Linked DNA regions of Caenorhabditis elegans. The protein of the gene in region 3 interacts with the protein of the main gene of each other region in a pairwise test. Each region holds a gene or a part of one and is shown on either strand. Other genes may lie near its edges. The genes, in order: hlh-27, fozi-1, unc-130 and dmd-8.

Region 1 (7,060 bases), 5.7 Mb from region 3:
GTATTAGAGAATATTCAATGGTGCGCTCTTCAGAAAATTCAAAAAATTTAAACTTACGTCAAAGTTTTGTGGGATGTCCCATTCTGGAAAAAAAACACATAGGGAAAATTGAAAAAGTGGCGATAAACTTTTCCATACGGGGAAGTTCTAAAATTAAAGCTTTTCGATGTTTTCTTAAATGAAGCCGGTCAGCAGATTGTCGACATCATCCGGAAACATCCGATATTCAGTGAAGCTGGGACAGGATGTCATTTTTGAGGTTTTTTGAAAAATTAATAATCTTCCCTACTAAATCATTTGAAAATTTAATTTTTTCGGAAATTGCAATCATTTTAAAAATTAGTTTCTAAATTTCCCAAAAAAAGATAAATAAATAAAACCGAAAAAACTTTGATTTTCGCTGCGAGACCCGTAGATGGACAACAAATTATTTTGCCATTTTATGGGCGTGGCTTTCCCCTTTTTATAGAAAATTTTGGTTGAGAATGTAAAGGGGATGTGTTTTTTTGAAAATGTTCAAAAACAAATCTTTAGTTCTAACTTTAAATTGCGTAACTTTTTGTATTTAGAGCTCGGAAAAAATAATTAGAATGTCTCTATAATTTGCTAGTTGACAACTATGTAATTTTCTGAAAAAGTTGACAAAAATTGTTTGTTTGAATTTTTTTTTTTCATTTTTCACAATTTTATAGAATTCTCTTGTTTTTGAGTGTAATTTTTGAATACAAAATTGAAAAAAAATCTAAAAATGTTCTGTAGAAAGTTGAATTAACTTAAAGTTCAAGGAACCGAGTGGGCGTGGCCAAACGAGACTCCAAATTCCGCTGGGCAGTTTGTAGTGGGAGTTCAGTTTTAAACTATTTTTTCGAGCTTTTTAATTTGAAATTTTGATTTTTTTGGAAATTGCAATCATTTTAACAAAAATTAGTTTCATAATTTCCCAAAAAAAAAAGATAAATAAAAAACACCGAATAAACTTTGATTTTCGCTGCGAGACCCGTAGATGGACAAACAATTATTTGGCCATGTTATGGGCGTGAGTTTCCCCTTTTTATAGGAAATTTTGGTTGAGAATGTAAAGGGGATATTAGAATTGTGTTAATTTATATTATATATATATATATATATATCAGAATAAAAACAATTTGAAATAATTTTGAATCAACAGTCCGGATTTTTGAAAATCTCCTTTTCTAGTTTATGAAGTTAATTTTATTGCAGAAAAAAACAAGAAAAACTTTTTTTGAACGTGGACTTCAAAGATGTGATAACGTTGTGTTTAAAAAAGTTCGTCAACGACAAGATCAATATTTTCCGAAAATCCATAAATAATTTATTTTCAAATCTATTCTCGTCACGAGATGACGGAGGCTCCCGTTATTCAGCTAAGTATTGACTATAGAGTTCGTCGTTACAAGGTTTTCAAGAAACTTGAAGATGGTGAATTCGGAGCAGTGTATGCTGTGCGAGATGATGCTGGAGAGGAGCATGTTTTGAAGGCTCAGTTGAATACCAAGGAGATATATGTGAGTTAATACTGTCGAACCATTAAGCAGAAAATGTTATTTTTAGTCGCTGAGAATTGAGCTTTGTGTGATGACAAAGGTATCTGAGAAGTCGCCCAGCCACATGCCTACTCTCATTGGTATGTAGTACACTTTTGTAGGTAACCGTAACCCCATCTTTCAGACAAGGGACGCCATGACAACTTTAACTATATTGTCATGAAGCTTCTTGGGAAATCCCTGCAAGATGCTATAAAGACTGGGCCTGATGGTCATTTGACATTTGGGCTCTGCGATTGGGGCATCGTTTCAATGCTTGGAAGCATTGGAAGATTTGCATTGGAGTGGGTTCTTGGACAGAGATGTGAACCCTGGCAACTTCTATCTCGGAAGAGCAAGCCAAGGCGAGCTTCGCAACATTTTTGTTCTTAGATTCGGATGTTGCCGAAAGTATGTAGATCGCGAAAATTTGATGCTCGAGCCAAGAAAAACTGTGCCATTTCGTGGAAGCCCTCGATATGCACCGCTTGCATCACATAATACGGCGGAACATGGACTGAAGGACGATTTGGAAAGCTGGCTAGTTTAATCAATTTAAGAACTAGTCATTTATGTGATATATTCTGTAAAGATGCCAGAAGGCCAGATTGGGTTATCACTTAGAATTGAAAATAAGAATAATAGTTTTTATTTGAGAAAATGTGTTTTTCTAGGTTCTACATGCTCGTCGATTTCACCAATGCAGCTCTTCCCTGGAAAAATGTAAATGAGATTGGCGAGATTGGTGCGATGAAGAAGAATTCCCGCTTCCAACCGATCATGGGCCAATTCCTTGCTGGCTGCCCAGATGAATTTCGCTTGATTATGAAGTGAGTCTCTACCAAAGCTGATTTATTCGTAATTTTCCATTTCCAGCTATATCGACAGTCTTTCGTTCTTCAAGGAGCCCGATTATGAGATGATCTATACAACACTGCAAAAAGTGATGCTAGACAAGGACATTGAAGAGTTTCCGTATGACTGGGAGATGGAATTTGGTGTGGACTAATGGAACTTTGATTATACATACTTGTCTTGCTTGTATTCTGGCTAACAAATTTTACCGAATAAACATTCATTTTCAAACAGAATAATTTAGACAAGACTATCACGTGAGTAGTAAAAAATCTTCAAAAATAGATTGCGACGCGATGGGATGAAAAAGTTCGGGAATATTGGCCATAGAAAGATAAAAAAATGAATCAAAAACGCAATATAGACAATGAAGATTTTCGAAAAATTGCTCAGAAACTAATTGTAAGATCTGGAAGAACTTGATAGACTAGTTACTAATATCGACGGTTTCTTCATTTTCTTCCTCGTCACTAGTTTCTGGTGTTAAGATTTGAAGTGATGGAAGAATGAATCGGAGGGGAGCAGAAAATATTGATGGAACGGTGTTGTAGTTTGACAAGACATTGAACTGAGTAGTTGGGATCATTGGAATACATGGAAATGTGAGCAATGGAGAAGTAGATGTTGGGGATTCTTGAACTTCTTGAAACGTCAATCTTGGGAAGAGATCCTTCACTTCCATTCGTGTTTTTGGCTTTTCATTCTCTTTGTTCTCACAAGTAGCAGTTGATTTTCCAGCTAAAAGAGGAAGTATTTGGGGAATTGTTTCTGGATACAGAAGATCGGAATTGTGTTTAATGTAATCAATGATGATTTCTAGAATTGTGATCCGTTCAAGTTTTAATCTGAAAATAATTTTTTGAATTTTTATTAGCCATAATGAAACTCTTACCGTTGCTCGTAACTTCCCATTTGTTTGTTCAAAATGAAGAATTTCAATTCAGCATAACAGTCATCTTGTTTCTTTCTTCGAATCTTTTCACGTTCAGTCTTCACTTTTCTTCTTTCGGATTCAGTATCAAACTTCCGTCTTGTAGATTCGGAGAGGTCATTCGATGAGAAATTAGATTCCAGATTAACTCCAGTCACAAGTTTCACAATTCGGAAGAGAACTACTTCTTGTCTAAAAAATGAATTAGTTTAATAACTATTTTAAGCTAACAGAGTATTTAAACTTACGATATATGTTCTTCTTCTGATTTTTGAACAATCGTCTTGCATTCGTTAATCAACTCGTTTGTAATATTTCTTCTTTTCCGTTCAGATCCTGATTTTGGAGTTTGATTGTATGGGACGGAACGATAATCGCTCATTGAAGATGGGATAACTTTTGGCATCTGAAATTTGATAAGTTTTAATCTTTTTAAAATCAAGAAGAAATCTAGAATTTATAAAATTTCAAGATGAGCCGTTAAATAAAAGGAATAATTGTGACAAAACAGAAAAATGAGACCAAGAAAGCAGCACAAATTGATTTAGTTTAGTGAGATAACTCGTGCTGTTTTTCTAGAAGTATACAGTTCACTGAATGCTTTAAAAGTAATTGATCAAAATCAGTACACTTTCCTGATGTTACAATTATCAAAAAGTATACTAAACCAGCAGACCAGTGATCCACCAAGAAAGTAAATGAACAATGAATAAATGGTTACCTTTTATAGTTCCATTATTGTTCAGAGGGTGGAGCTTTGTATCAAGCGTTTGGAGCCATGGGAATTATTCTGAAATCTCTATTTTTACAGTCCCCATCATGGGTTCCCATGGTTCATCAGTGAGGTTCTCATGAGAACGAGGCTGGACATCTCCAGTTTTGTCTTGGGACCATGCGAAACTAGACGACTGGATATCGATTGGGTACTGCCTGGGAAATTCCGGCTGAGACTGTGAATTAGGATATTGGCACTGTGTTAATTTATTCTATAAGTTTATAGTAGTATCAACTGTACCGGATGAACAACATTTTAAACAGAAATATCTCGAAAAGAAATAAAATAGGAGAAAACAACTGAAATTATTTTGCCAGTAATTCTAAACAAGATTGATTTGCAACAGTTTCTTCGAACATAATTTTTATATAAGAAGATATCTATTTTGAATTGACAGTGGTCAACAGAATAAATATGGAGAACAATCATATTGGAAGAGCTGGAATGCAAAAGTGAGAGGAAATTGATTTGAGCTCTTCGATTATGGACGCAAAAATGGCATGGCGTGACTGAAACGACATAAGTTTGAAAGTTGATAGGACGATTTATAATATAAATTGTGTTCCCTGTTTGCTCCAATGATATGAATTTCGGCAACAGTATCACTACAGTATCACGACAGTAGCCTTATAATAACCCGCCAATAAATTCATTTGATCTTCGCTCATGATCTCAGAAACGATTTTTAGTTTTATTACAATTATCATACAGTATCATGATAACAACGGAGATTGCCCGTGGAATAGTTCAGCTACTGGAATATTGGCTACAGTAATCCTATGGCAGTAGCTATGACCTTAAATATACTCACATCTGTCTCCCAAATTACAATTTTTTATTTTTTATTCTTTAATATATTAAGCCATAAATTTCATCGTACAACGACGGAAGACAATTTTTGGAAACTTGCCGAGTCAAAATTATCATGACTCACCTTGGAGATCGTGGAGGAAGCCAGATCATTTGTGGCAATCTCTTCCTGAAGGCGGGTTTCCATAATTCTCACAGATGTCTTGAAACGGTCCTAGGCATTCTAGAAATGTAATGTGATGACGAATAAATGTATATTTCTAACCTTCCGGATTATCTCCAAAAGAGCCTTTGCTCGGTTATATGTGGCACGGTCGACGCCATTGGCGGTCTGAATATAAAAGATGAGTTGAATTTCAGAACGAGATTGAAATACTCACCTTTTTCATTTCACTTCTTGCCTCTTTTTGAAGCTTTCTGCGGTCCATTTTGTAGCAGATGTGAAGGTAAGATCTGAAACTATGAGCAATAAATTAATAGCGAAGTCAAGTCAAGTGATTGAATGTAATTGGTGAGGAAATTAGTATTCAATTTCAATCAAAATCACTGAAACTGATATTTCCGTTTTCAGTGTTCCAAAGTGTACCAATTGCCAACTAAAAGGTTATGTGAACAAACTTTCAAATCAATAAGCCTCCTCAGCTTCAACAAAAAGGGACAAATTTTATCAAAAACTATTAATAACGAAAAATCCCTGACTCATGGTGCATGGCTCTTTCTCAATTCTGATTTTTTGTTGTCTCCCCCCGTTGCAACGATGATAATTTCTGTCTTATTTCTGTATACAGGGTTGCCTTTGGCCTGAATGTTTTTGTCCTTTGTTTTAGGGAAATGAGTTCTGAAACTTTTTTTGTTGGTAATACTTCCAATACTTTGTTAGGTTCAAAAAGTGGTTCTAAAAATTTTGTTTTACGCCATCCATTATTTTTAAAATAACCTGAACTCGTTTTGGTTACTCTGAAGTAACTTAAAAATCGCAATTGTTAATAGAGATAACAAGATCTATAAAAATCGCAGCTTTAGTCTGATTGATCCGACCACAAGGGGCTTCCACGAAAATTGATAAACCATTTCGACAAAAAAATGAGTCATGTTTTGACTGTTACTGACCAACAATTATCGCTACTATTTCTCTTAAAAACAATTGAAAATCATTTAAAAAAAAACAGTTCATTTGTCTCTTTCTGTTTTGCATTTACGTTTTCCAACATTAAATTGACGACATCTGTAATACTCATAAAAATCGTCAATGCACACATTTTTCTCTCAGTTTTTCCTTTTAGCTACAGGACTTTTCGTTTTTTTTTCATTCACTAATTGAACAAGAGAATCCCTCTTGAAGGGATGACTTTGATAATCAATTCGTACACTCAGACAGGTGCGAGTCACGGCTAACCGACTCAAAATCACTGCTAATTAGCTTTTTGACCAGGGATAGAGTCAACCTGGCTAGCTCTGGTTTTTTGCTAATTAGCAATGGTTTGCTAATTAGCCATGGTTTTAAGCTAATTAGTTCTGGTTTTTTGGCGTTTTGCTAATTAGCAGTGATTTTGAGTCGGTTAGCCGTGACTCGCACCTGTCTGAGCATGTTTGGTTTAAAAAAATATTTAAATTTGTTTAGAAAATGTTTTCAATATTTTTTTCAGCAGAATTTTACAGATTTACAATCTTCTTTCATACTCAGATGCAACAAATCTCGAGTTTGACGTCAGGTAAAACTTTCAATTTCTTCTCTGACACTATATGTAAGTTAGTTTTCCATTTATTTCTTGAAGTTTTTCTATTTAAAAAAACTAGCAAACTTTTGTTTTTCAACTTCCGTCGTGTTTGAGCCATTTGTTAAATAATTAATAACAAATTTTTCACCCAATTTTTCCTCTAATAATAATATTGTTTTACTTTGACAAACGGTGGTATTCTTTTGAGTATATCAATAATGCATATCCTGATAAAGTATATAATAAATTACTCGAAAAATGTTTTACTAATTAATAAAAAAAAACACAAAAGACGCTACTGCTTGAGACTCGAACCAGCAACCTAAGGAGAGCTCTGCCTCGTACATTCCATTTATTCTCCCCTGCACCACAAAAGACACACTTTCGTAGTCTGTATCTCTACAACAGACACTCTCTTGCTGTTACT
Region 2 (8,222 bases), on a different chromosome or scaffold from region 3:
ATTTGATAAAAGTTAATACAGCCGAGATATCAGCGTCAAAGTAGAGCAGTAGGTTTCATACAAAAATTGCAAAAAATGCCTGTACAGCGAATATAATTATAAAACTATGTTTACAGTAATCCAGAGGCGCATGTGCCTCATTATTTATTCATAATGATTATAATAATAATGACAATGGCCACATGCATGATAATAACGGATCTCAAGGCTATCCTACTCGGGTTACTGTAGATTTATTCAACTGAGAAAAAAACTAGACATAAAATGTACAATTTCTTTCCTTAAAACTGGCGCACGCGGCGGCGGCAGTTCCATTGAAATAAGCATTCAAATTGGAACTGACTTTGTACAATGTACTAGGCTATACAATTCTCGAAGTAAGGGGAGTTGGCTCTACTTTTTCCAATTTCCATATACTTACAGTGTGAACGGTGGCTGCTTCAGTTTGATGTGTTTGTTGCAATGGAAAAGGGATCTGAAAAAAAGTGAAATGAAATGAATGGCACTGAGTTGTACAACTTGACGATTGGCAGGGAGAATTGCGACAAATAAGAAATACAATTTTTTATCGAGAATTTTGGAGTCGGACCCACACGTCAATAAGTGATTTTGAGAGTTGGCAGAATAACAGTAATTTGTAGCGAAATGAATTGAGGATTGTTATGAAGGTTTGATATTCAGAAATTTAAATGATGACAAAAATGGCTTAAGAATGTAAGACGTTTTCTTGGGGAACTGATTTTTTCAAAGCTTAAGCAACTTTCAACAGTAATAAAAATCAAACTCTTCAAAAATTATACAGTACATATATTTTTTAAGTCAACTCAACAGCTACATCTGTAGTTCAAACCAATAATGTAGAAACAGTTGTCCAAGCAACAAAACAATCACGACAAAATGAACAAAAATGTGAGCTTTTTCATGAAGCAAAGATACATTACTAGGCGTGATTGACAATCAGTCAGAAAAACGAAAGATTCATGGAGTAACTACAATACTAGTCATGCTCTACTCCCCAGTTTGTATTCAGAAGGCGGACGCGTCACAGATTCTGACTAAACTTGAGAGAAGTTGCCAATTGATTGAACAAAAAAAAAAGGAAATATGGGGATTTGAGATTTTAAAAGAAGTTGAAAGACTTTTTTCAGCTAAGGCTTAGGCTTAGGTTTAGGATTAGGCTTAGGGTTAGGCTTAGCTTAAGCTTATGCTTAGGTGCAGGTTTAGGATTAAGCTTAGGGATAGGCTTAGGCTCACCCAAACACATATTGCCAAAGTCCTATACACAACTCTCCCTGCACAGTTGCTAAATTTACACTGAATGCGCAATAGAGATGTTGCCAACGTGTGTGATTTTACACCATTTCAAATTTTACCAAGGCACGGCGCCTGGTGTGAGCTCACCAACTGACGCCCCTAGCTCCAAATAGTCAGAAGTTGGACGGCTACCTCCTTCAAATTCTATTTCATTTTTCAAAAACAATAATTGTTTTTCGGTTTTTTTCTTCTTGTTTAGACGTATAAGGAAGATGCGCATTTTAGAAAAAAATATAGAGACAAGTATCGTATTACCGAGAAATATTAATCATGTTTTTGAAAATGGGCGAGTGTTCACATCTTGAGAATAAGTTATTCGAAGAGAAGGGGCCTCCAATTTAACTTTTGAATTAGTTATTACAAGGAGGCAAAACATTGGATCTTCGAGTTTTTGTTTTGTTCACTACTTACAGGTAAAAGAAGATGACTAGATGAAGCTGATGAATAGTTGAGAGGTATCCTGAAAAACACAAAAAATAGGTACCGTAGGTGTAAAAGTAATGAGTTGGTAGCAAAAGCCGGCAGAGCCCAATTGGACATCAGGCGCCGCCCCTAAGTGGAGCTGAGTTGGCAGCACCACCATGATTCAAAAACAGGAGGAACAATAGGAGCGAGATATTGGAGGATGAAATTTACATATGTGTCAGTGATTAACAACACAAAAGTAGTTGATTAGCAAGTTAATATGGTATGAATAGAGCGTGTGATAGGCACATTTGTTTGCCGGAGGAATAATTAGTTTCATAACTTTTGAAAAATTTTGCAGTTAACTCGGTAGATGGGTGAGATGGAAAGTACATAGTATTAAATTGGAATATAGATAATTTTAAGATAGTTTAGGTCAATAGAAATATTTTATTTCCCAGAAATATGAAGCAGTGAAACCAATGAGATACTTCATAAATTTTATTATTTATGTTTTTTTAAAGGAATAGTACGAAAATTTGAAATCTTCAAAATAAACCGAAATGTAACTTTTCAAAGTGAAGTAATGTAAGGAAATACAGTAACTTTTTGGAAATTTCTCTCAATCATGGTTAGAAAATTTAAAATTCTCACATTATTTTGGCGTGAAAATTTTAAGTTTAGACTTCATAAAGACTACAGTACTCATTGCAACTGAGTGTGAAATTATCAAGCAAAATGAGAGTTTATATGGGTGCGAGATTCGCGGAGTTATGAGCCGTAAAACAACTGTGAAATGAGTGAAAGTTGATGGACGACTCGAGAGATCATTAAAAGTTTGATGACCTCTCAAAAAATGGGAAGTTAATGTCGAAAAAGTGGGGGAAGAAGGGAGGAGACTCGATGATTTTTGAAGAATAATTTCATTGAAATTTGTGAAATCTTCGATGAAGCTGGATAAAATTTAAAGGGCTTCAATCTTCTTTTTAACCAAAAAAAATATAGAAGACCCGACACCAACTTGATACGTTGATAGGTTTTCAATTTCGTATGAGATTTTCAAAATTTTTGAATCCAAGGCTTAACTGAATAGGATAAGGCCATCGTTGTTAAATATTAGTCGCGATGAAAACTGACTAAGTAGGAGCTTAGCCGATTAGAAATTGTGTCGACACGTGGATATGTCCATGAGGTCAAAGTTGAAAATTCGAAATGAGGAAGTAGCTAGTACGAAATAGCAGAGTAAATTTTGACTTTGTTACTAGAAACTTAATGTTTAAAAAATTAGAGCCTTCAGTTTTAGAAATCTAAAAAATATGTTTTTTTGTGGTTGACTTCCATCCATCATACTCGTTGCATTTTTGAAGTGCTTTTTGAAGTTTGAGTTAAAAATAATTTTAGATTATAAAAATGTTCAATCAAATCTACAATTCCTCACAAAAACAGTCATAAAACCTGCTCAACTTTTTCTAGATTATTTTTTTACTGGACTTAAATCAGACGATAAAGCTAAGAAGATCATATGCTTATCAAAGATCCAGTAACACTATCGAAAAAACTCTTCGTTAACATTTGAAAAATACATTCAAAATTGCCGTTAAAAATTAAAAAAAAAATTTCGAATACGAAACCTCCACCAGAAAACAATGGGAATAACAAATCAGAGATGAGATACGGTGCGATTTTGCTGGAATAAAAACTCAACAAACAAAACAAGTTCAACTTATGGTAATCTGGTCGGGTGGATCTAGGATAAAGCTTAAAATGAAAATCTTTGGCACGATGCGGTTTTTGGAAAAAAATAATTAAATTGAAATTCATGAACTTTCAGGGGGACAAGGTAAAACTGAAAATTACGTTTTCTAGCTTCTAAAAAATGTTATAATTTGAGTGGCTTATATCTCGATTTTCTTAGGTTTTTATCAAAAAATGTTCCACTATCAAAATATAGAAAAAATATTTTGCACGTATTTTGTCAATTGACAGTTGTTTGATGAAACCATTTGGAGCCAAAACTGTCAAAGTTGAGCAAGGTCTAAGACAAGTCTTTTTTAGAGAAATATGGTATTCAAAAAGTTGAGTAATCATTTTAATTTTCAATTTTTACGCAAAGTTACTTGCACCTACCGTAAACTTAGATACAGAAACCTATTATCCAGAAAATACTTATTTTTTTGGAACAAATGAAACTACATATAGAAAATGTAAAAGTATTCCATGGAAAAAAGACAAAAGTTTTGAAAATTCAGGTGAGAAAAATGATCGAGAACGGTGAACGAAGCTGTCGATAAAGCCGAAAAGCTGAGAAAGTTTAGAGAAAATGGAGGGAAAGCGGCGAATCGTTGGGAAACTAAGGGTCCACTCTTTCCTGGTTGCCACGCCTCTTTCGTCACTTTCACCTTTGCGCCCCTGGTGCCTGCACCAAAACAACTGCCATCGAAGTAGATGGAGGTGGAGAGAGCGACGGATATATGTACAAAAGAAACATCAACGAACACTAGGGAGGGCTAAAAACAAGATTTTTTCATTCGATGGCGGATACTTGTACCAGAAAAACGAAGGAAAGAGAAGCATCAGCGAAAGTTTCTGTTACTTTATAGTAATTGGGTTGATGATGGCAAAAGAAGCTTCTGAAGCTTCAGAAGGTGAAAAGCAAAACAAGAAAACAACATAACAAGAAACTAGAAATTTCAAATCTACCACAGGCGTTGGCCTAAGTCCAAATGTGGCTCTAAGGGGGTGTCCATCTCTATGCTCTCGATATGTCAAATAAAGAGAATAAGAAGGTTGAGCACAGGAGCTCCTACTCCCGTTTTCGCACATTTCTCAATACGATCACACTCCTCACCTTTTCTTTGTGTCTATGTCATTGTGTGTACAGGCGCAGGCGGCCGGAGACGAATCCCCACCAGCGTCTTCCGCTGATTGCGAACGGTTTCAGAGAGTGAAGTGGTCAGTTGGCTGGAGCACGTTGGAGAAGAGGTTGTAGGATGCTCTGAAAATACAAATTAAGGAGAGATGAGATTTTTTGAAAACGGGGGAGAAGGGTTACGGTAGCTTCTAACATTGAAGATTTAGGTTTCTGAAAAACAAAAGTTTTAAATTTAGAGCCAAGTAAACTTTTCAAAAAATGTTTTAAAATGGTTTTTTTTGCAATCACTCATAATTTCAGATGTTGAACATGAAAATGTTCATTTCTGCATTGCTTCTATACAAGGCAGGCTCGGTTTCAAAACATGGCGCCTGCCTGAAAACTGGCTTCCTCACACCATCTTCGCGCATTTTTCTGAACTTTTTTTTAAATTAAGAAATGACGTTTTGGCGCCTACATGAACGCTCTAAACTTCTGCAACAAATTTTTGAAATTCAAATTTTTTTAAAAATATTTTCATTTGAACATTTCTTTTTTACCATTTTACCTAATCGTCAACTGAAAATTTCAAAAAATCTAAACAATTTACGAAGATTTTGTTTTTCTACCGTAACCTATTTTTTATACCGTAGCCTATTTACTCTAAACTTTTCTAGCTGAAATAAAACTGAAAAAATCTTAAAAAATTGTTCAAATACAGAGAACAGCGAAAAAAACCACCCTGTGGAGAGCATTTCAAGCAAAAATAAAATAAAAATCTGTCACAAAGCTACTATAACAAGTGACAAATTGTGAAAAATCTGGATATTATAATGGATAAAATAAGCTATCAAAAGTTGTAAACCACCATTGGATGATCCCTGGATGTTCTCAAAATCTCCATTTTTCAATCACATTTTTCATAATCTTATAGCATATAGAGCTTTGATGTTAAAAATAGTAGGAAGTTACGGTATGAGCTCTCTGGATGTTTGGAAATGCTCAAAAAAGAAATCGAGATCATTTTGGATCAAGATCATTGTTTTCTTTTCTCAACCTCCAGGCGCATTGACTCTTCTCCCATACAAGGTCGAGAGGTGGCTCCCGTTGTGTTCCGAGTTAAGCTTGCACACACCTCTCACTCTTGCTTGCAATCTATATATGTGTTTGCGTATCGTTTTCTTCTCGGGGACGCCAAGTCCTTTTTTGCGAAACAAACAGGAGACTATAACGACGTGTGAGCCTGCTGCTGTTGCGATGAGAAGAGCAAAATGGGATCGCGGGGGAATAATGCGACAATCAACGCGAAAAGTTGCGCGCGCTCATCTTCAAGCCTCGCTAAGCCCATGGACTCGATGACAGACACCAAAAAAAGCTCGATGAATGGGGGAAAAAGAAAAGGTGAATGAAAAAAAAAACAACAAACGGGAAAACAAAAATGAATAGGTGTGAACTTTGAGCAGGTAAAGATTCTAGAGAAACTAAGAAAACAGTGGGAAAATTTTCGGAAAATAAATTTGAAAACTGTAGTCTGTAGAAGTCCGATTCTTTCGAAGAAATGTAAATAATTTCAAAAGGTGAAAGTTCTTATTTTTAAAGTTTTAAATCAAGAAAACTCATAGCGCAAGCTTTAGCTTTTTTCTGGTATGTTGAAAGACACTGAAAATGTTTCAAGTCTGGCAGGGATAATACGGTATTCCAAGGTAGTGCTACCCACAAAAATCTCAAGAAAATAAACCATTCATTGTAATCTCGAAAAAGTCAGCCTAAAACCTAAATTCTAGTTCTGAAAATCTCCAAAATCCTAGACACATATCCACATCTGGTTTGAACTTCACGCAATCATTGTTCACTTTCACGAGACGCAGACCACTTCTCTCCCCCTTCTTCTATCCCACCCATTGAGCTTATTTTTTGTTTGTATAAGTTTGTTTGTTATCCGTGTGAATTACACGAAAAGACGGATTAAAATCAGATGGTAATGAGAAATAGATACGTATGGAATCTGGAAAGCTACCGTACTCTAAAATGAGCATTTGACAACTGTGTTCTCATACAGGCGGCGAACACGAAACGGCATAAATTGTCGGCGCTGGGCGATGACCATGTGCCGAGTGTTTTGGAAAAAACTTTAGCGGAACGATTAAACAAACTTTTTGGGAGGAACTAACGAGTGCCCGCATGATGCACTTGGATTACTGTATAATTCGAAATTTGAAAAAAAAAAGTGGAACACTGAGTGGACTTAGGTTTAGGGAAAATTTAATTCCGGATTTTTTTCTCAGGAAATTTTGAATTTTTCTGAAGATTTTTTAAAATTAAATTTACTAGTCTGGGTCTTTCGGCGAAAAAATGTATAGTCTACAGTCTTTTGGGCACCAAAAAGTGGCCACCAACAATCAAAAGTTTTTGTCATAAATGTCTTTCTCGTGGCGGGACCCATCTGAACTTTAAATAATGTTTCAGAAAATTACAAAACTGCGATGTTGTTCCCTCCAAAAAATGTTTCCAAATCATTGCAAAGACGTAGATTAAGCTGTAAGATGTTTAGAGTTAGGACTATTCGAAAAATTGTGAAATCACAAAAAGCAAAATTTTGGAAAAAAATAGCTGGCACTGTAGTAGATCAAACATATGATTCTTTAAAACTAACCCCGAAGCAAAAAGTTATTTCCGATTACATCAACCTAGGAAATTCCGTACTTCATAAAAAAAGTATCAATACTCATTTCCTTTCCATTTGAACTTATGCGTGAAATTCCTTAGTGAATAAGTGAAACCTATAATTGTTCAATGTCAGACCCGAACATTTTGAAATGCTTCATGAACTATCTGTGTTTTGAATGTGTTATCTACGCATTCGCAAACCAATTTCTCCTTTTTCCGCCACTTAAAAGCGAACATACGATGGCAACATCATGTTGCTTCTTTTTCTGAAAATAAGCAAAAAGAACCAGCCCTTTATACAGTAATACATAGTAATGGCATAGTTTCTTCGTTTTTGGCTTCACTTATCCGCGTCTCTTAGACAGAAAGGCAACATATTCATCCGTGTCTCTTCACAACAGGAGCGGGGATGAAGAGCGAAAACAACATGACAAGGAGGGAGAAGACGCATTAAGTGTATTTTCAGTGTGGACACCACCACCGAGATGCAACGAAGACGGTTTTCATCAGCGAAAGCTTTTGCATACCAGTTGATGACGATGAGAGAGAGACACGAACACTTATTACCATTTTACTTTCTTTTTGTTTCTTTTTGAGATGAAGCTGCGCGCGTGCTGGCGGAAGATGAAACTAGAGGGGAGTTACTGGGATAGCAGGGGTTAATGATAAGATAAGGGATTGAAGATACTAGAAATTTATATGGGGGAAATGCCCTTTAAATATATGTATTTGATTTTTTTTAACGTTTATTAAAAAGTTAAAAACCGAGAATCAAAAACACCACTTACTTTTGGAAAATTTGGCGATTCACCGAAACGTTGACTGGAATTTTTGAAACAACCTAAACCTTTTCAGAGTTTTTATTATTTTACTAGGTCCATGCTGGACCATCAAAACTGCATTTTAATAAATCACTCAAACTTTAACAGTTTTCAGTGATGCACGATGAAGTCAAATCTTAAGTGGTTTTATTGAAAACGCACTT
Region 3 (7,611 bases):
TGCATAGTGTCAGTTACAGTACGGTCGCGAGAAGGGGGGCCCTTGTCGGGCGTGGCCCCACCCACCGTAACACAAATATTTGCATTCGAAATATGTTGTGACAACGCGCGGGAGAATAAGAAGACGAAGAAGTTGCGAAAAACGCAACGCGATATCGGATCGCAAATTTGGAAAGCGATGATGAGGGATGATGATGACGCTAATTAAATTAGTGTCGCCTGGCCTATGATCTGGTTGAATGTAGAGAAGTTTCACTCTTTCTTGCTGCTGTGTTTGTTGTTTTTGATTCATGACAACACGACCCCATTTGTGAGAAGAAGAAGAAGCATTGGAGGATTACTGTAGGCGACGCAAAACCTGAGAATGTTTGTGTAGGGTACACCTAATTGTTATTAATCGAGACTTTAGATACAAAAAAACCTGCTGATACTACAATTTGGTTTTTGAAACGTAGGAGATTTGATTATATTGATACGGTAATATGATATCAGAAATTGGCAGAGCGCCAGCAAAATCATTTTGAACTTCTTGGCGACCTAGTAGGCCTAGCCAGACATGTAGGCAGGCGGGTTGGCCTATTTTGGGCCTAGGAAAAAAGGGCCAAGCTCTAAGACTTATAAATAACTCTATCCCTTTTTTTGATATTGTACCTGCCTCGTGTACCTACTACCAATTTCCGCGTAAAAATTTTCCAATTGAATTTTCAGCATGTTGATATAAAGGTCACTATGTGATCTTCAAATGCCGTAGTTCCCACCTAAATGCAAAAAACCATCAGGCACGTAGGCAGGCAGGCTTGAGCCATTAGGATAACGTGCCTGCCATCCTTCATAACGCTATTAACAGACAAATCGGTCTGTAAGGAATATTTTATCGTGGAAAAAGTTATGGTAGACTGAAATTTTAACAAAATCCAGAAAAGATCTATTCGCCTTTAATCACACAGGTAAAAATCTCTGAAATAACTATAGTAGCAGGTCAATCTATCAACTCCCAATCATAATTTTGGCATTGCGAATAAACAATGGCCACCACGTAAACTAACAAACCAGTGCTAAAACGAGTGTACTGTATCAAAACTGATAACAAATTGTGCTACCCGATCACTTTCCTCCCCACTAACTCCTTGTTCTGCTACTGATTACCCCCAAATGTCCTCCACAAACACAGACACAAATTTTATGTGTTCACCCTTGCCAACAGAAGGTGTTACAAGTTTATGTATGTATATATGTCTCGATGGGTCCATTACCTAACAAGATGGTATTCAAATGCTCGGTTGCATAACAATCTGCTCACTTACTCCATGTCCTTGGCGTCTGCGTCTATAACACTTCACACGCTCTCTCACTGCCCAGTATCAGATGAATCTTTAAGTTGCGCCACCTCGACGACTTGTGTATGTCGCACCTTATAATTTGCGGATTAGCCGACGCACATTTTGTATGGAAATACTCTTGGCGGTTAGCCTTTTTTGGCTGGCTATTGTCCGGTACTTATCGTACTCACATCTTTATGCTCAACCTACTTGAAATAATCCTTGTTTTGTATATGAGCGGAGTAGTTGCAGGTGGTGATGGAGAGTTTTGCATTGTATGAGATAATTAGGATATTGGCACTTTTAAACACGGGTTACTGTAGCAGAGGCTCCTATATTTTGGCAACACCTTTTTCCTAACTATCTTATTTTTTCTATTAGCATTACACCCAATTGTTTGACTTTGAAAGCTTGTATCGGCTTTTTTCGTTGGTCCAATACAATTGATAACTCTAACTAGTTAGGTGCATACCATTAAAAAATACGGTATTTGTAATTACATTAATACAACCTAAGATACCGATTAGTATCAATTAAACGGTTCAAAATCTCATCGGGCCTGTCACCATGTGCCGTCAAACGAAACATGAGGTGGCATAAGGTGAAACTGCACCCCCACACACACTTCTCGATAATTTGATTTGACGTGGCAAACTGATGAATGAATTTGATAAGCAATATCCGTTTTGTATAGTTTGAATATACATATATACACTATGTATGGGTATCTAATTAGGATAGAAATGAAGACGACATGCTTGAGATAATTATATGGTTTGGCGGGAGTTCAAAAAGTCACCGAGTTAAACTAGGGTTTTGGTAATTAGGATAACATTTGAATAATCTTAGCATAGTTTTCAAAATGTTCATTTAATTGTTAGTATCATTATTTGCCCAAACAACAAGTAGCTTTATGTTGATTTAAATTATGGTTTTAATGGTTTTTATTCACAGAAAAGTAGGCATAGGTCGTCTTTTTAGAAATTCTATCTAGTCCAAAGGAGCCAGGTTATATGGAAAAATGAGGACTCTTGGAGGCTGAGGAACTCTGTCTGTGGCTAATATTCGCGTCCAGTTATATATCCATCTAATTTAGAAAAGTTAGGAAAAGGTAAGTTACGGTACTTTTCCTATTAGTACTGCACCCCTTCTGCTCTACTTTCAGATCTCTTATCTCGGCTGCTTTTGGTTTTATCACGAAAATTTCAACAGTAGAAATATTTTTCATATATGTTTCTATGATTTTACAGTTGAAAATGTTTTGTTAAAATTGAAGACAACCGAGATATGAGCTGCCAAAGTAGAGCAAATTTGGTGCAAGACTAATTGAAAAATTCGGTATGTTTTCTACTAAAAACCTAGTCTTCTGAACCCTGATTTTTTGTTGGATTCATGACATTTTGCAGACTAGTAACTCTGCAGCAGTCTTGTCACTTCCCTCCCTTATCAATTTCAGTCTTTTAATCGGCTCAGCAGCTTCTGCGGTCTCCTTTCATCTTACTGTTTGCTCAATTGATTAATGTGATTTTAACTTCAAAAATGCTGACGATGGACATATATATTTTCGAATTATTTACGACATAAGCTCTTTCACAGATAATGAAACAAAGAAAAAAAAGAAAAGGGAAGATCAGTTGAAGAAATGAAGTTGTGGTACCACGTGCAGGAGGATTAACAAAAAATTGATTATTGATTGCACGATTGAGATCAGGGGAAATGAAGAATGCTGAAAGGAATTGAAGGGGAACGGAAAAGGAACAAGAGACTAGAAAAGGTTAAGCAAATAGGAAACAATTGTTAAAAATTAAACAAGGAAATTGAGTGTTCTTCTAAGCGCTCAGTTTATCTGAAACTGCCGAAGATCCATTCTCATTTGGTGAGGAGCTCGATGAAGTTCTCTTCTGGCCAGAGCTGACTGGAGCATCCATTGGCATTATTCTCGAAGCCATCATTGACAAGAGCTTCTGGCTATCAATATTTTGTGGAATGAAGAACGCTGGCATGTTTGGAACTGCTCTTGGATTCATTGGATGTCCCAGCATGGGAATGTTAGCCATCGGGTGCATCATTCTTGGAGGAAAGGGCATTCCTTGCGGGAGGAATGGAGGGAATGGCATCGGATGATGGGACATCATTTCGTGATATGTGTCACTGTTTTTCTTGTATCTGAAATTATTAAGTGTTTGAATTGAAAATTTATCTCACTAATTCCCTTGTTAACCCCGAAAGTTTTCTTTTCCCAGGCTTCTCCACTACCCTCGAGGGTGCGATTAATGACAACAAATTGGTGACAAATTATCGAAACAACTGTCTTTTCCCTCTCTTCACATCTCGTATGTGTGCTCACCCCGCCGCCGGCTACTACTCCCCGTCAGGTTGTAATACTTTCTCCTGTGCTCCCCTTACCTCTTCCTTCTGCGCAGAAACGATCCATTGTCGAACATATCCTCACAGTTCGGATCCAGCGCCCAATAGTTTCCTTTTCCCGGATTCCCAGGCCCCCGAGCCACCTTCACAAAACAGTCGTTGAGGCTTAGGTTGTGACGAATCGAGTTCTGCCAGGCGGGGAACTTCTCCTTGTAATACTCGAACTTATTGATTATGAACTCGCAAATTTCCGAAAGTGTCAGTTTCTTCTCCGGTGAATTGAGAATTGACATCGCGATGAGTGCAATGTAGGAGTACGGTGGCTTTGCGTGACTGCTCTTTCGGTGACCAGACATTGATTTTCGACTGCAAAATTATAGAGTTACAGTTGTTTTACACAGTACATATTATTGTACATATCACTGTACATATTATAGGTATATTGCTCTACCTATTTCTCTACTTTGACAGCCAATATCTAGGTTTTTATTGGTCTCATCAAAAATTGTCAACTGACAAAATGCATGTAAATATATCTCTACATTTTTACAGTTAAACTTTTTTGGTAAGATTTAGGACAACCGAGATATAAACCGTCAAGTTAGAGTAAAGAGAATGCAAGTCATACAGGGAAAATACGGTAGTTGAACAATGTCTAATAGACTTAAAAATATCGGAGATCAAAGTTTCACAAAAATTGAGCATACAAACTTTTTGTATAAAAGGACCTAAAAGGTCGAGGTCGAGAAAAATCGAATTTCTTCTAAGATTCCTAAGTTTTTCCCAAGTTCCCAACTTACGATGTAGAATCATCATCGTCGTCATCATCCTTCGCATCATCAGATGAGCTATCTGCAGCACTTGAAGTTGAATGATTTCTTTTGTTTGCCTTCCGAACTGGAACGCCGTCTTCATCTTCCGTGGGCTCGTCTCCAAGAGACCGACTTCTTTTTCGGGACTCCCCAAACTTCAAATCATGTTCAAGAACCGACGCAGAAGTTGATGGCTCGGAGAGCCGTGTGTTGCTCCGCGGCAGATCAACCACTTGCTCATTGATTGTCACTTCCGGCTCTAGCTTCGGAGGTGGCTCCAGTTTTGGCTTGGTACTTGATAGAATTGATTCCATGGAAAAGAGCATTGTTACCGGTGTCTACCTAGTTAGTTTCTGCAAGTAAGTTGATGAAAAAATTATGAAAAAAAGTAAAACATAAAAAAGATAAGAAAAGCTAATATTTTCATAGCGTTATCAAAATTCAAAGCGAAATCGTAAGATAGAGATGGCATCGCGAGACACCAGACAATAATAATTATTAATAAAAATGTTATAATCGGATAGAAGGGGGAGGAGAGTAGGGGAGTACGGTAATCATGGATGAGGGAGCACTTGAGGGAGTACGGTAGGTAAGGGCAGATGATACCAATCCATTGTTGGCGAAACATTGAAACATACTAATGATTCTCAAGAGTACGTGGGGGGATAATAAGGGTATATCATTCTCATATTAATATAATATTTGTAGTACTATGCAGGGGTCCGAACTCGGTACTAGTAAGCTGTCAAAAAAAAGAGCAGGAGGAACACGAAAAGTTGAAAAGCAAAGCAAAGCTATCACTTTCAACAATATCAGTTATCTTAGTTAACACAAACAACATATCAAGTGTCTTCTAGCAGGATCAAATGAAAACGAGAGATGAGCTTCCAAGAGAAGAACAATTGAAAAATGACAGAGTGGTGTGGGAGCATCAGGAGAGAGAAAGAAAGCTCCGAGATTACTGTAGATTTATGACGGGCGGACATGTGTTAGCGCAAACTTTTTTTGTGTGTGTAGGTATGTGTTGAAATGAAGAAGTCGAAAAAAATATATCAAAAGCAAGTTGCGGACGAGGACTGGGAGACAAGTTGTAAATGATGAAAAGCACGGAGGTGGTTTTTTGGAAGAGTACATACAGTACAGGTTTCAAGATTTTTGATTCTTCAGTTTTTAAGTGGAACTTTAGGATTTGAAAGGAGCGGGGCATTGATTAGAAGTTTTGGCACAAAAAGAGAATAGTATCAATATGAGAAGCAATTAAAAAATTTAAAAAAAGAGTTTCACCTCTTCTGCTCAAAATATTTAAATTTCAATTTAGGTACCAGTTAATTTTTTGAAAAAAAAATTCAGAAAATGTGAGCAATTCTCTAAAATGGTGAAAACTCTGTAAAAAATTCAAAACTATGCGAATTTGTAAACCGGAAAACCCACTATTTTCCTATTTGACTTGCATGCACCTTGCTCTTCTTTGACAGCTTATATCTCGATTCTCTCTGGTTCTATCAAAAAATTGTCAACTTACAAACTATGGAAAAATTATTTTTCTACATTATGACAGTTAAAATTTTTTTGATAAAACTTGGGACAACCGAGATATGAGCAAAATGAATGCTAGGGAAAATACGGTATAATTTTTTTTAAATAAAAAACTTGCAAAAATCGAATAAAATTTGTTTCAAGTTTTTGAATGTTTTATGTAGTTTTGAAGCAAAAGTTTTAATTTGAATGGTGAGAAATATTAATAATCATAAATTTGACAGTGATGAACAACAGATAAAAATTTTCATTTTTTGAAACGCGGCGTTTTGCCTCTTTTGGCAGAAGTAATATTATTGGTAACCAATAAAAAGTATTAGATAACAATTTAGATTTAGAGTTTACGGGATTTATAAGGAGCACAACAAGGAGCACAACAACAATAATAACAATAATAATAAAGACAAAGATCAAGTGAAGCACAAGAAATCAGGTGAAATAGGTACAGAATGATACCCAACCTAAATCCAACTATTAGTTCTAATAATAATATTTTTGCCTGATCCACTGATTCTTCCGTTTTGGTGTCATAGTCACAAAAAGCGAATAAACGAAAGAAAACACCGGTAATTGGACCGCCCCGCCCCACGCTCATTGGACACGCGGCTCCGCCCACACGCTCGCCCCTCCGCCGCTCGAAACTGAGAATCATCACTGATGACAGGGTGAATTTAGAGAGAGAGAGAAAGAGAAAATGATACTAATATATAATAATTATATCATTGTGATCAACCACTACTCAGATCTATGTAGATCATACTCAATTTTAAATCGACTAATTCTGGGTGGCATTCTCCCAATTATCAATTTGTAAATAGAGAATAGACAATCAAAAGACAAATATGTTTTCGTTAAAGAACCTGTCGGCAAATTTATGAGGGAATCATGAGGTAATCCAACTTTCTCGGTTATCAGCTAGGTGGTAACTATTACAAAGGCCACACACAAATAGACACACAGGCTCGGTTGAGACGGTCATTTCATCTTTCTGATAAGAAGATTGGCAGTGGGAAGGAACGCATTAATTGTGTGTGTGTTACTTAATAAATGTTTATGGGGTGCCGGTGGTCTTACCACGAAAGTTTTGCGATTTTGTTCCTACTCGGAAGACTGAGGTGTTACGTGAAGGGGAGGATCCTCGCCCCACTGGCTCCCAACCAAAAGTATGCGTGCAAATTTACGTGGGGCGTTTTCCGGGAAAAAAGCGGTCGTCAGTCGTGCCTATAGAAATTCTAACAGTGACAAAAAATAATCAGAGCCAAAATAGAAGAGTAGCTCCTCGAATAGCTCTCGAATAGCATAAAAGGAACTCGAATAGCATAAAAATATGATCGCAAGTAACTAAAGGACGCGTTTTCCGGCGAGACATGAGACCAGTTGGGCTCTTCGATATTCTACCCAAGGTATTTTAATAAATAATTAGAACCATTTTAGACAAAAAGTACAAAATTAGCTTCTAATATTCAAGCCCTGATCAAATCGGCAGGTGCCATATAACATCGGCGTAGACGTAATGAACACTGATACTTTCCTAATGGACAGGCCTACCTCATACCTACCTACACCCAAAGCTTGTTG
Region 4 (7,932 bases), on a different chromosome or scaffold from region 3:
CAGGTATCATATAACATAGATATGCATATGATCTTGGAAAAATGCGGAGCCAACTCTCCTGAAAATATGCTTGAAACAAGCCAACACCTTTTTGATGAGAAGCCTCTCCGCCCGCCCTTTGTGCTCCACACTGTGTTCCCTTATCAAACCGTGCCTTTGTGTTTACAATTTGTGAGAAACTTTTGAAACTTTTTTTGCCGCCTTACTTGGGCAAATAGAGGAAATAATTCGATTTGATTTCACAATTTTCCTGTTATCAAACTGTGGTCTGGGGATGTGAGTCAATTATTGAACGGTGCAAAAATCACAAAACGGTCACAAATTGCTCGTTATTTTTTTCGTGATTTGCTAATTTCAAAAGTGGCACAGAAAGTTCTATTATCAAATTATTTTCAGTTTTTCTCGATAAAAAAACAACTTGTGTTCCGTATAGGCCTAGTTGTCAGCCTGCAAGCCGGCCTTCGTCTGACGCAACTTTCAGATAGGCGCCAATACAAGATCGTATATGTTTTAAAAGTTTCATGAAAAATATTCATTACTGCAAAAGGTTCAAAATACATTGCCTACCAACCTACCTACCAACCTGAAATTCCAAAGCAGGCACCGGCAGGAAAGTAGGCTGGTTGAAAAGCTGGTAACTGGTAGAAAAATAACAGATTTTCGGAAATATTTCTTACATTTCTTATTTTTATTAATTCTTAAAATATAAATATTTTTTGAAAATTTAAAAATAAGTCAAAAATAAATATTTTGAGCATCCGTCTATCTTTTTTATACCTAATTTTAAAACCGTGACAATAATGTCAATTTGTCCGGAAAAAATTGACATTTTCCAAAATTTTGATAGGAAAAAACCCGCATTTTGTGTGAAAAATTCCATAATCAACAATTTTCGATAAGGATACATAGAGAAGAAGGGAAATTTTATAACACCAAAAAACAAATTTGCAGAACCTGAGCATTTGGCGTGCTAGCCTAAGATTGCCTACTGCCACCACACCCTGAAGGCGCGTAGGTAGGCAGGCACGCAGGCATGATGTCGTGGCGAGCACCGAACAATAAAAAACCAAAGTAAATCCAATTAAAGTTACTCAAACGTAATTTATTTTATACTACCTGACTTCCTCACGTCATCTCAAAAATCACAAGCTCTATGTGATTCTCAAAACCGGCATTCCATTTTTCTTTTACGAAGACGATACTAAAAACATTTTTTATTGATAAAGCTGATAAGAAACTTATGAAATCACTAGTACCGGCTCGAGTCGTTAACAAGAACATTTTCTCGGGTGACTCAGGATTCAGGTTGGGCACTGAAACATTGATAAGCAATAGAATTTGATATGACGTCTCGAGGGCACGATCGTGACATGACTTCTTTCTTTATTTGTGATTTGTGAAGACAACGAGAACTTCTAGGAAGCAGCCGACACTTTACAGTTCGCTTTTTATAAGAGATTTTTTGAAGAGATACAAAAAAACAGGTCATGTTAACCGAAACAAAATTTCTAATTTTTTAAAGATTTATTTTAAATTTTTCAAAAATTGAAAAAAATCTGATTGTGAGATTTCACTGGTAAATGAATTTTTCGGCCATTTTTTTCAAATTTTCAACCATTGTCATTAAAGGAAACTTGACAGGCCGAAAGGAATTGGGTGAAACTCTAAAACTGGCCTGAACTTAACATTAATTTTTTTGCTGTAAAATGCATGCAAATTTGACAGATCACGTCTCAAATAAAAAATCAAAAAAAGTGAAACTGCTCAATTTAGCCGGAAAGCTTATTTTTGGAATAGCAAAATTTGAAAAAAAATTACAAAAAATTCTACAAAATATATATTTGAATTTTAACATTTAGTTTTTTTTTAATATATGGGATTGCTTCCTGACGTTTTATGCAAAAAAGGCCGTGAAATTTCTAAATCCAAGCTTAATTCCAGATATGGTGGCTGAAAATTCGGAAAATTCTCTGTAAAAACCGTGACTTTATAATTCAATTTCTAGTCGAGTCATAAATTGATAAGAGTACAATTTTATTAATTTATCACTTTTGCAGAATCAAAAAAAAGTTTTTGGAAATATAAAACACAAAAACATCAAAATATTATTATCATCATGTTTGAACTGAAAACCCGCACAGCTTAAAATTTCGATGGGGTTTTTACTCTTTTTGAGGTGCAACTGGGAAGGAACTAGAGTTTTACAGGGAAAAGACAATAAATCACAGATTGGAAATTGTTTTTTTTTTTGAAAAATTAAAAAGAAAAATCAATCGGTTTCAGCGCAGCTAATTGCAGCGCTAAGCTCACGGATATTCTGAAAATTTTGAAAGTTCTGGAACAACATTTGCATTCCGATAGGGGTCATCAGGAGAGGATTCGGGAAAAGAGTTGGAGCAGCTCCGTACATAAGCGGAGCCGTGAAAAATGGTGAGGCCGCGGTGGACATGAGAGAGGGTACGGTAAGAAATGAAAGCGGTAGGCTTGATGGAGCAAGTTGTGGAAGAGCAATTGGTGAATGCGGAAGGAGAAGCGGCATTGGAGATGTTGTCTGAAAAAAATTTAATTTAGAAATTTTAGAAATTCTGGAAAAAACCTTTTAGAGCAGTTTTTAGGACGAGACTAGTGCATGCCTACATGCCTACATACCTACATGCCTACATGCCTACATGCCTACATGCCTACATGCCTACATGCCTACATGCCTACATGCCTACAGGTTTACATACATACATGCCTACATGCCTACATGCCTACATGCCCACATGCCTTTTCAGGTTCAAGCTGTACCTGAAAAAATTTTCAGAAAATCTGAACCTCACCTCAAATGGAGAACCAGCCGGACTAGTGCTTGCATTTGCCGAAGTCGCTGCAGGAATCATAAATCCCCCGGCACTGAAGTCGAATTTCATCTGAACCTGCGGAGCCATGTTCAACTTCTCTGATAGCATTCCAGATAGCGAGCAATCCGAGGATGAAGCCGACTCGTCCGAATTGCAGCCCGAAGAAGATGAGAGTGACGATGATGAAGCCGTGGTGGAGCCCTCTTTTTTGGGACTTTTCGGTGCGATAGCTTCAACCGTGTTGCCCTTTATGCTCATTTTTCGCTTCTTAATATGCCGGTCCAGGGCACGACGGGAATCAATCAAGTTACACTGTTGGCATTCGCAGCTGGAATATTGGCACTCCTTTTTGTGATTTTTCTTCCAGACGAGCACATTGTGATTCTTGCATTTTTGGCAGAAATAGCACATGTTCATGTTCTCCATGACAGCTTTTTCATCTGCCTCCCCACCTGTGAAGCCTGGGAACACGTTGGCCTCGCTGATATCATTGGTACGCTGAAACACGGGGATAGTTAGGAAAATTAGGAAAAAAATCACAAGGTACCTGGAACTTCTTGTCTTGCTCTCGTCGGAGACGAATCTGAGTTGACATGATCTCCCGTCGCTTACGGACCAAGTCACACTGCTCACACTCGCAACTTCTATATTCGCAGGTGTGCCCGCGCGTCTCTACGAAAACTCCATGCTGCTTGCACATTCCACAGTGCCGTTTCACATCTGAAAATTTAACAAAAAATAAAACTATGTTAGGCGTAGGCCATACTAATTTCTGAAAAAAAATCAGCAGCCGACAGTTAACCAACCATACATTTTTCTACTGACCCTTTCTCGTGAAACCAATTAACTGTCGGCTGCTAAGAAGCTATAGCTCACCTTTCGGGATCCTTTTCCCTTGGCTGAAAAATCTCTGTGCTCCAACATCCGGGGAGAGGCTGTTGTTTGGTGAAAGCCCTTCTGGAGCACTGAGCGATGAGGCATTTGAAGAAGATGACAGGGAAGATGAGGACATGATCAGGTAAGTCTGAAATTTTCCATTTTTCAAGAGTTGGAAAAGTTGAAGCACAAAATGAAATTGTGAGGGCTACAAGATAAGGGATGCTTGAGCTTGATGACCTGATTGGCTGAAATTTTATAGACACTGCGTCAATGGAATATTTACAGTACTTTCAGTCACTTGTCTGAAAAAAAATCTTGTGACATGTTTTACTAGTCGCCTGATAAGGCCCTGGGGGCTATATAGACGATGCTTTCAGAGAAATTTTCAGGGAAAGCATAAGCAAAACAGGAAGTTGTAGAGGCTTGGGCGCGTGACCGAAGTTTTTCTAGTTTTCTTCGGCCACCAAAAATTTCCCTTATCTACAGTAACCTAGCTCCCCTTGGAGCAAAAAAGCTATCGAAATGAATTCACAAATGAAATGGAATCGAAATAAATAAATAAAATTTCATCCGCCTTTCCCATCTTCAATCCAGGAATGAAAGATTTTCTGTATCTGCCGGCTCCGCCTCTTTCTTGAATATCCCTGATTGCTGTCTAACCATGTCTAACGTCTCCGCCATCCCTCCCCACTCATTCGAGAAAATTCGCCGTAAACATTCTATTTTGGCTCTGCGGAGCTATGACGGAATTCTCATGTCGATGGGGGAAATTACGTAGATTCGCAGTTTGCGTAGATAAGGAGGGGCAATCCGGTCGGGGTTTTACGCGGATCAGTATGGAGCAACTGAGCAGTTGGACTAAAAGCCGATTTATTTCATTTTGTTCACAAAAAGGTGGTGCTCATCTCGTTTTGAAAACACTCGAATTTTTTAAAACTTGAAAAACTTGCTGGCCGACGCCTATGACATATGCCTATGACCTCCACCTATGGCCAACGCCTATGGCCTACGCCTACTGCCTACGCCTATGACCCACGCCTACTGCCTACGCCTATGACCTACACTTATGGCTAATGGCCTACGCCTATGGTCTACGCCTACGAAACCTTGGAAAATTCAAAGTTGAGCAAGCTGAAAATCATTGCAAAATGTTTCATAACAACCACAAAAAAACACTAAAACTAAAAAGATTTTCAGAAGTTTCAACAAATCGGATGACAAATTGTGTCGAAAATCAATCGCTCAGAGTGGTTTCAAATTTTGTGTGGAAAATATAAGAAAATCTGTAGCGGATTTTGACGATTGCTAATCTTTTTCTCGCATTGCTTAGCCCTTGTGTTTGAATTATTAGGCGATTTAAATCCATTTCTGTGATTGCCTTTATCATGCTTTTTTTGTTTTGAATGATTTTTTTTCTTTTTCTAAATAATGGAATAATTTTTTAAAATGTTTTTTCTAAACAATGAAATTCGATCTAAATTTGAAAAGGAGCCTGGCAAGCAAGCCCGAAAGCCTCGTTCACCGACTCCAATGCACCAAATTTTACACGCAAGGTTAAAAAAAAATTCTGTACCGTCCTCGATCACTGTCGGCTGCACAAAAAAAACATTTTTTCCAGTAAAAAAAATGTTTAAAAAAACTATACTAAAACATGTAGGAACTAGTTGTTTTATACTAGTTTATGCTCATTTGGGAAATGCTCATTTCTGATCGACAAGTTTTGTTTTTTTGCCACCGTCTAGACGCTCTACCGTAATCTTTGAAGAATTCTTGCTCCCACCGGGGAAATCTATATTTTGTCACGTGGAATAGGGGTAATAGGAAAACATAGAATGCAACAAGATTTCTTGGAGGTAGGTAGAAAGCCTGAAAAAAATCAACCCATAAGAAAAATTCTTGGAAAAAATTAATGAAGTTACATTTTTTTATTTTCCAAAAAAAACCTGCACTCCTAAAAATAACCATACCTAGTGACATTGGTTTTGACACCAATAACGTCAAAATTCAATCTGCTTATCATTTTTGATAGCTCCAAGCCACGTTGTTCGAAAGTACCTGGATAAGCACCGGCTTGACTCGGTCAAGTCAAATTTTTGCGTCACTGGATAAGATGGTTCAAAATGCGATGCTGGCCAATGCTATTCATAAAAATTTCAAAAGTTTTGAGAGATCACTGGTTTTCCTGAGTTTTCATGTAGAAGATGCAGTCGGGCCAGCTAAGAAATTGTTAAAAACCACTCCTATTGTGTAAAATGACAAAATACCAAAATAAAAATTTTCAAAACAATTTTAAAAAAATTTATGGACAGTCAAAAAAAGCAATTATTGAGTTTTGCCCCATATATTTGACTCATAAGTAGACTAAAAAAGCTCGAAGAAATTTATTTTTACTTTTAAAATTTGATTTTCGAAAAAGTGGCAAAAATTGTGATATTGCCAGTTTTCAAAAAAACAACTCTATATTTAATTTTTTTTAACATTTAAAAACATACATATTGTTTTTAGAAATTTTTTCTAACTTTAGACTTATATGTATTATATGTACACGTTTCTGATCGCTTGTCCAAAATTGTTCTAGACACCGCGAGACACTACTGGTCCCCCGTGATTTGGGTACGTTTCACAAAACATGATTGTCTGGAGGGTTACTGACATGATTCCTGTTTTGACAAACATTTTTGAAAAAAATCAATTTTTGGTGGTTTTTATTCAAATTTGAAAGTAAAAAAACACTAAAGTTATGAGAAATTTAGTTTTTATAAAAATGAAACATTTTAAGTTCAAATAATTTTTTTTCGGAAAAAAAGTTGAAACCCCCTAATTTAAAAAATTTTATTCAAAAAAATTAAAACTTTTAATTTGAATTTTTGCAAGATTTTTTAAAATAAAATTTTGAGTTTCCTTAAAAAATCAAACTTGTCGTTCAATTTCAAAATTTGTGCAATTTTTTCCGCCAATTTTTTTTTCTGAAATATTAAATGCTGATTTTCTCGAAAAAATAGCCACGGGAATTTAATTTCTGAATTTTTTGTAAAAAGTTTAATTCCTTACTAAAGTTGTTTTAAAAATTTAAATTTAATTTTCCTGTCGAAATTTTGAAAAATTAGAATTTGAATGGTCTCGCAGCGAACTCTCGAAAAATTTAATAGTGAGGCAAAATTGAACATGGGCATACTGATTAATAACAAAAATCAAAAGCCCAAATTTCACCTGCCAAAATTATATTTATTTTTTGGGTTTCCACAGTTTTAAGAAAAAAAATGTGTGTAGTATGATGGTATTGAGAATTTTATATATCTGTCAAAACAATATATATATCAACAAAAAAAGAACCACAGAACTAGAAATGAATCGAAATAAATAAATATTCGAATTCTCAAAAATATTATGTTTCCATCATTTATCTGGAGGCTAATCCGTACTTCTGTGGCGTTTTCTGACGTTTTTCGAATTTTTCTGACGTAATTTTTAGCTCAGCAACCAGTAAACTTCTAAAATGTTCAGTTACAAAGATAATCCTTAGAGGTCTTGACTCAATCTGTTTGCCCCATGTCGTCCCTCAACAGCCCTTACGGTTATGAATACTGCGGCCGACACCTTGCGGGTCACAGTGGCGGCGCAACCCGGGAAACGTCGGCCGCTACAGTACCCCACCAAAGTTTTCAACCTTCACTTTGTCCCCATCATCTTTTGACACAGCTGTGTGATCACCGAAAAAACTTCGCAACATAGTTTTCCCGCCCGTTTACCTAGGTCGACCTATTGGTGAAAAGGGGGTGGGGGTGTCGAATTTCAAGTTGAAAATTATCCTCGCTATTCGGAAACCTCCCTCTAAAGTGTGACGGGGTATGTGTATGTATACATGTATCCCTATTGTAACACTCACACTTTTGACGTAATCGAAACGCCGCGCTTTTTTTGCTCGTGTTATTTACTTGAAAAGTTTTCTTGTTCGGCGGCTTTGAGAGGGCGAACGTTTGGAAAGGTTAAAGGTTGATGGGGATACTGTAGCTAGGGGATCAGGAGTATTGGTCGCTATCAATCTATTTTCAGAATTGCGTGCCTAGATGCATAGTTGCCTAGATGCCTAGATGACTGGATGCCTAAGAGCCTATATGCCTACATGCCTACATGCCTACATGCCTACATGCCTACATGCCTACATGCCTACATGCCTACATGTCTGCATACATTCCTACTTGCTTCGGGA

What was found.
Region 1: the proteins of unc-130 (region 3) and hlh-27 interact in a two-hybrid assay, tested with the Caenorhabditis elegans proteins (one large-scale study listed by BioGRID).
Region 2: the proteins of unc-130 (region 3) and fozi-1 interact in a two-hybrid assay, tested with the Caenorhabditis elegans proteins (one large-scale study listed by BioGRID).
Region 4: the proteins of unc-130 (region 3) and dmd-8 interact in a two-hybrid assay, tested with the Caenorhabditis elegans proteins (one large-scale study listed by BioGRID).

The regions. Positions count from the first base shown.
Region 1 is NC_003280.10:5,536,474-5,543,533, forward strand, and holds hlh-27 (BHLH domain-containing protein), read right to left. Parts: upstream 3,741-7,060; 5' UTR 3,737-3,740; coding exon 3,579-3,736; intron 3,523-3,578; coding exon 3,292-3,522; intron 3,245-3,291; coding exon 2,827-3,244; 3' UTR 2,602-2,826; downstream 1-2,601. Other genes in the region: C17C3.11 (Protein kinase domain-containing protein), read left to right, coding at 1,362-1,526, 1,573-1,645, 1,690-1,937; C17C3.24 (uncharacterized protein), read right to left, coding at 4,531-4,614, 5,040-5,102.
Region 2 is NC_003281.10:9,278,279-9,286,500, reverse strand, and holds the start of fozi-1 (Formin-homology and zinc finger domains protein 1), read right to left. Parts: upstream 4,721-8,222; 5' UTR 4,568-4,720; intron 1-4,567. UniProt on the Caenorhabditis elegans protein: Acts redundantly with hlh-1 to promote body wall muscle cell and coelomocyte specification in postembryonic mesoderm progenitors, probably through suppression of sem-2.
Region 3 is NC_003280.10:11,279,207-11,286,817, reverse strand, and holds unc-130 (Forkhead box protein unc-130), read right to left. Parts: upstream 4,853-7,611; 5' UTR 4,824-4,852; coding exon 4,486-4,823; intron 4,052-4,485; coding exon 3,725-4,051; intron 3,485-3,724; coding exon 3,148-3,484; 3' UTR 2,859-3,147; downstream 1-2,858. UniProt on the Caenorhabditis elegans protein: Probable transcription factor. Binds to DNA sequence motif 5'-CTGTTTCA-3'.
Region 4 is NC_003283.11:332,584-340,515, forward strand, and holds dmd-8 (DM domain-containing protein), read right to left. Parts: upstream 3,868-7,932; 5' UTR 3,856-3,867; coding exon 3,720-3,855; intron 3,564-3,719; coding exon 3,391-3,563; intron 3,342-3,390; coding exon 2,823-3,341; intron 2,552-2,822; coding exon 2,270-2,551; 3' UTR 2,018-2,269; downstream 1-2,017.